Linked DNA regions of Kluyveromyces lactis. The protein of the gene in region 1 interacts with the protein of each later gene in a pairwise test. Links are inferred from orthologs where the notes say so. Each region holds a gene or a part of one and is shown on either strand. Other genes may lie near its edges. The genes, in order: BFA1 and BUB2.

Region 1 (3,921 bases):
ATTGGACCAAGAATTGAAAGCTAATAGCTTGATACATGTATAGATGTCTGATGCGAAGAGTACCACTTTTAAAATTGTTAAGCCCCAAAAGATGAACACATAACTCACCACAGTTTTGAATCTATAGTTCTTGAACAGCTCGAGATCAAGCACATCAAAGGTCTTAGAGTTAAGATCCAACTTTCTATCATTATCAAACATATTAGAAGAGGGAATGCACTCAGGTTATTCGACTAAACAGATCAGTCTTTGCAAGTATCTATAAATAATCTCAAAGTGAATCATATACCATAGATAAAACAAAAAGATACTGATTGGGAGCTCCAAAATTGATTCTGATATGGGATACAATGATACCACCAATATAATGTCTCTTAAGTACCAAATAGACTATTCTAAACCTCCAACTGTTGTTATTTACTTTCGTGTTTCATCTTAAAACTAATGTTGTTATATAAGGAAATGTTGATTTCCTATAAAAAGATTCTTTGACCGTGATCTATAATCGAATTCTGAACAAAAACCGATGGTTTTAAAGGGACTATATTAAGGAAATCAGTGCCGAATATGTAGTGCGATAGGCTTTGTAACATAGAATGACCTAGATGTTATGTTAGAGAGATTATTCCGTTCTATCATAAAAGATGATTTTTTATATGTATAGTTATTGTCTCTGAATAAATTAAATGCTATAGTAGGTGACACATGTCAGGACACTGATTCAGAATCAGTTACGCGCTGATGAGATAACCATATTCCTGATTTCGTACATGTATGATTTGTCATTTAAACTGGTATGTGACTGGTCTGCGGAACCAGTGTCTCTAGATTTATCACCAAGAATGAACCATCCACCTACCTTCCTGCTCCATTTATTCTCTTCATGGTAAAACTTCTCTAATTGTTTGCTTGTAATTTGGTACGTAGGATCTGTGGTTGAGTTTGTAGTCAAAGAGTGGAATCGTGTGGATTCTGAAGAGATAAATCTATTTCCATGCTCATCTCTTCCGAACGGCAGTTGAGACTGTGATCGAAGAATGTTACCAGAATGTCCTTGTGATTGGAATTTGACGTTCTTGGTAGGTGAAGATTGAGATCTTGGCATCAAGTCTGTGATACCATGAAACGGATCTTCTTCAGTACCATCAACTCGTAGCCATCTTAGGTTCTTTTCATCAAATCTCATTTTTCCCACGACCTTCCCATGCTGAGAATTTGAGGAGGCCGCATTCGTCCCTGATGCCGCTATTTGAGTAGAGGACGAAGTCTTCAACGGAGACTTTGACCTTTTGTTCTTGATGATAAACGCTTTCCGATCGACATTTTCAATGTTATCGAAACTGCTTAAAATATCCTCATTACCATCCCATCGTTTCTCCCTTGGGTTGTATTTCATCTTACCTCTTTTCAACGGCGTGTTGAGATCAATTTCTTGTCTTATTGTCTTTAAACGAGCACGAGCTCTTGTAGAATTACGTCTGTTAACAGCAGCAGCAGCAGCGGCCTGTTTTGCCGTACCCCGTTGTTGACGAGCTTCCCTATACGAATCCAACGGAGCGTCGAACGCATAATGCTTCTTATGCAGCTGTGGTGTTAATAAAGTGTCATCATGTTCGATATCATACTCTGAGGGTGATAAACGTAATGTTGGATCAAATGCTGAAAAGTTATTGTTGTTATTAGTAGCGAACTGGAAGTTATCGTCAATTCCTTCAAAATCATTACCGAAATTATCGTCATCGTCGTCTCCATTATTAGCCATTTCTGTAGCCTCAACAGCAATGTCTTGGACAACGTTACCGTCATCAGTTCTTTCACCAAACCTTGGTCCAAGATCCCTGTAACTCCTTCTAACTCTGGGCACATATGGATAGGGTTCATCATCTTCATCTTCATCGTCATCTTCGTCATCTTCGTCCTCAAGTAACACATCTTGACGGTTGAACCTCATTAACGATGGCATAGATGACTTATAACTGAGAGTTCGACCAGAACTGGGTCTAAGGTTCATATAAGACCTGCTGTTCGGTACTCGACGCGATTGCTGTGAATTCAAGCTTGTAATATTACCTTTACTACGGGTTGCCAAATCGACCATCGATCTACGCTGTCGTACCGAATCCTTCAACGATGGCCGCACTAGTCCCGCATGGTTTATATATTGATCCACATTTCTAGTACCACTACCACCACCGGTCTTAGAATTTCTCAGGTTCAATGATAGCTTCTTCTCCAGTTGTTCTTGCAAATCAGCTAGCTCGTCCTGATCCGAACTTTCCCTAAATCGTCTATCCACAGCAAGAGGTAGGTCTGTACCATTTTGGTACTCTTCAAAATCACTGTTATAGTTCATATCATCATCAAGATCGCTCGCCAGTTCCGTGTGTGATGAATACCTCTTATCCTTAGAGAATGTGGTATTTTCCGTAGTTGTGGATGTAGCTGAATTAGGTGCCAATCTCGGTACCTCTATATCATCTTTATAAGTAAATGTGCTTTCAACATCTTCAAATGATGTTTCTCCGACATCATCCAGTACAACTGGACGTATAGACATCGATAATCGAAGATTGTCCCTGGTCTTTTCCCTTGTTTATTCCTTTGTTTACATCTCGAACATACCTTTAATGCTTCCGTCATTGATGTATCTATTAACCTTAAACAAAATAATCATATTCGTGAGACGTGATACTATATTAATTGCTGTTTAAACCGCTGTTGAGACGCCAATTCTGCATTTCGAGCACTCCTATAAAACACTGAGATTCCCAGAATTCGACTAAGTTAATAATTACCTTTTAAACACTCATTTAGGCGCGTTTATCTCTGTTTGTTTTTCTTTCATGCTTCCAAAATGATTCAAAATTGCAAAGAACCGTATTATTGTAATTCTTTAAGATAAATCTCTGTTAAAGATGCATGATGCCACCAAACAGAACAAGAGCCTTTAGCTGCTATCCGTGAGCCGTTTTGAGTGTGAAGTCGGCAGCAGGGGTTTGCATATCAAATTTAAGAAGGAAACTAGGGATTTTATGAAATGTTTGAAGGATTAGACCAAACTTTTCTGAAGAATAACGATGAATGGGTGCAGAGTTATAATTCTGTTGACTGGAACGATATAACTACTATCGACAAACTGGTGGTTGGTACAGAAGCATTGGTACAGAAATACAATAATCCCAATGAACATGTGAAGAGCAATATATATAAAGTTTTTGATGAGTTATTGGGAAGGTATCCGTTATTTTTTGGTTACTGGAAACGATACGTTGCGGTGAAATATCAGCTAGATGGATTAGAAGGGTCTATTTCTACTTTAAAGGCATCTTTACATTCGTTCCCTACGTCGATAGATCTTTGGATTGATATGTTGAACGTTTATCTAACACATAATCAGAATGATAGTGAACTGATACGAAACCAGTTCAGGAAATGCGAATCCCTCGTGGGATCTCATTTCCTCTCGCACGATATTTGGGATAAGCACATTGCATATGAAACAAGACTACAGAACTGGGAAAACGTATTTGAGGTGTACAAACAAGTCATGCAGCAACCTTTGCATCAATATGCAAGATACTACACCAGCTTTAAGGAATTCTTGGAATATCACCCAGAGTTTGCTAATAGGGAATCAAGCATCCATTTGGATACCACATTTATTTCTAACCAGGAGAAGGTGAACAAAATATGGACATATGAATCACAAATAAAACAGCCATTTTTCAATATCCCTGAGCTTCCCGAGAATGAGATTCAGAATTGGGATGCTTATCTATCTTTCTTAATCAACAACACTGAGTTCAGTACAGAATTAATAAAATCGACGTTTGAGAGATGTTTGATTCCATGTTTAAGATACGAATATTTCTGGGGAGCCTATATTGACTGGACTGAAAGGACTTTTGGTCCCGAATGTAC
Region 2 (2,892 bases), on another chromosome or scaffold:
GATGAACAAGTCGAATACAGTTGGTTACAGCTAATGAAATTAAAAGGGAGTGACGAGAGAACTTCATGGATTAAAGCGTTATTATATGAACCCAAAGCAGAAGATCAAAAGAAGCTTCCAATGACCATCAGACCAAACCAGAGCAGTATGCAGCAGAATTTCAAATCAATCACATATGAAAACTTCCCACACCTGGTTAAAAAGTACGAGAAAAAGCCTAGTAAGGTTGTATGTGTATTGAATAGCGTTGATCCAATGGATTTGAAGAATGAAAAATTTGTCACTGAGATCAAGGAAGCTATGATGTATGGCACGCCAATTCAAAGTTGTGGTGAAGTGGAGTCAGTCCAAATCCCCTTACCTAACCCAGACTACCGTAATGATATGAGTCACATTCATTCTTCCATTGGGAAGGTGTTTATTAAGTTCAGGGATTTAGTTGGTGCTGAAAAGGCAATGCTGGTGTTACCTGGGTCACAGTTCTGCCAAAGAACCATTCTATGTAGTTACTATAGCGAGACGGATTATGATATGGGTATTTTATAGATGGTTAGACATTGTAATTGATTCATCCGTAAGATGATCTACCAAATTTGTATACAACGTATCAGGTAGTTTTGCTAGAAAACCAACTCCTAGGGTGATGATTTCATCTGCATTGATAGACGGTGTCTCACGTAAAAGGTTCATAGGAGAGGAAGAAACCATAATAGCCTGTCTATTTATGACTAACTGAGCCACAATGAAAAGGATATTCATATGAAATCCATAAGCGAACATGAAATCCCATAGTTTAATAACCTGATCCAGTGGTTTATTACAGGCGGACAAAGTCAATATTGAGGGAATGCCAAATATCTCTGCTGTCAATAAATTATCTGTTAGAAATTTACTCAGTTTAGGGTCAATGATCTTTAAGCATTTATCCAATAACTTGGCTGCTACATGAACGCCGGATAAAGACTGGTTCAAATAAGTGGGTATCATTTGGAAGCAAAGCGAATGGAACAGTTTATATGCAATAGGTTCGGTCGGGCAAACGTATAGAAAGGGTGCCAGCAGCACATTCATACCCTGCACATAAGGGGAAAGACCTGGAAGTTCATGTGTTTGGTTACTATCAAGAACATCCCATGCGAAACAAGATAGGACTCTAATTAGTTGCGATTCAGTGACCTTATTCCTAAATTTTTCATCTGTGGATAGCGTTCTGAAAGTATCATTTTTAATCTTAGAGATCCAATTCGATGGTGGTGCGCCTAATTGTACTAGCCGCAGGTATTCCTGAGTACATTTTTCCAGCGATGCTCGGGAGAGGATGGACCAAACGTGAGATCTTGTACGTTGATGATCTTCATCGGACAACCCTTCTGATAACACGAGGTATCGCAGTTGAGAAAGCGAAGAATGAACTATGAGCGGTGGCTGAGAGATGAATTTTTCAATCGACATTTCGATATCGTCGACAATTGCTAGAGTACTGGCCAGTAACTGGCGTTATTACCACTTATTCTAAAATATATGCACCTTTTAGACATATGGATGATATTATGCATTGGATCAGATCCATATTTCGCATAAATGGTAAACAAAGGCTAACCAAGATATGTTAATTACCCGGTGTGACAAATAATTCGATCACGTGGATCGGGATTTTGTTAAGAAGGTCGAAGCAGATGTAGCTTTCAGAATACCGTCTGAACAGAAAACTAGCCAAGACTATATTATCGGTGTTAGAGACAAAAAGATTCACATACGCATGCATATATACACATAATCATAAAATGGCACCCTGTTTTTTTCACGGTTCTGGATTAAACACCTAGACTGACTCGTTCAAATTGTACATAACTCGATATCAATTCAAAAATGGTGGAAAAAAAGTGTTTGTATGAAAATTATCAAAAAAGAAAAAGAACGCTGGTAAATAGGAACATCATTACGATATAGAGTATAGAAAATAGAGTAATTACAGCAAGTTTGAGAGTTGCAGTTTCGACCTACAGTAGAAAACTGACCATTCCATGAAATTTCCCTGGGTGCAATAATGTATTTCTCATTCGTAATGAAATAAAAAAATAAATTGAAAAAGCGAAAATTGGCAAGTATCCTACGTTCAGTACTGGGCGTTCGGCCCAAGTGCAGCCATAGATAAACTTGGCATCGTTGATAGATTAGATATAGCACACTTCTATGTGTACCGATTACCTACTCAAGAAGAATGACAACGCAAAAGGCCCGGAATCGAGCATGATTTACTCGTTTGCCAAGATTCAAAACTGACAAATCTTGGTGCTCGCTCACAAAGGGCTTCTGGCACGTTCAGTGACATGGGGCCGTTACGGATACCCTTTCCTCATCCGCTTCTCACCCTAAAGGCTCTCCTCCACCTACGGAACAAGAACGGTGGAGAAGTGATCCGCTATTAGCATTGATGAAAAAAATCCAATTCTCAATATACTGCGCCTTATCTTGTAGTTATTTAGAAAAGCTAAAAACTGAAAAACTTTCTTGGCAATGTATGGAGACTATTCGGGGCCTTGATTTTTGGGCCTGGGCCCAAAAACCTTTCTCATTCGAGCCTGTATATTTTTTTCCGATTCCATTGAACTGAATAAGAAATTATAGAAGGAAGGAAAAAATAAAATGAAGAAAAAGAATGTAAACTGGCAGGAAAGAATTGGCTGAAACTTTATCGCTCGAAAACCCCGGCGGGGGTGGGTGTAGCAACTACCATTACAAAAAACCCTGGAAACTTATTATCAAGAAGTAGAGCACTTCCGTTTTTTTCTTTTTTTTCTTTTTCCCATTCAAACAGTTGGGCCCTGATGTTTACTCTCCCACCATCTCAATTTTTTCCCATTTCAATACAATCATAATTCCAATTCCAAT

Evidence for each region.
Region 2: the proteins of BFA1 (region 1) and BUB2 interact in binary tests that used the Saccharomyces cerevisiae proteins (3 or more experiments, as listed by UniProt). The link is inferred for Kluyveromyces lactis from reciprocal best matches to the Saccharomyces cerevisiae genes BFA1 and BUB2.

The regions. Positions count from the first base shown.
Region 1 is NC_006037.1:713,983-717,903, reverse strand, and holds BFA1 (Bfa1p), read right to left. Parts: upstream 2,558-3,921; coding exon 728-2,557; downstream 1-727. Other genes in the region: pheromone-regulated K(+) transporter PRM6, read right to left, coding at 1-201; PRP39 (Prp39p), read left to right, coding at 3,038-3,921. UniProt on the Saccharomyces cerevisiae protein: Part of a checkpoint which monitors spindle integrity and prevents premature exit from mitosis. This cell-cycle arrest depends upon inhibition of the G-protein TEM1 by the BFA1/BUB2 complex.
Region 2 is NC_006042.1:2,446,402-2,449,293, reverse strand, and holds BUB2 (Bub2p), read right to left. Parts: upstream 1,453-2,892; coding exon 541-1,452; downstream 1-540. Other genes in the region: MUD2 (Mud2p), read left to right, coding at 1-546. UniProt on the Saccharomyces cerevisiae protein: Part of a checkpoint which monitors spindle integrity and prevents premature exit from mitosis. This cell-cycle arrest depends upon inhibition of the GTP-binding protein TEM1 by the BFA1/BUB2 complex.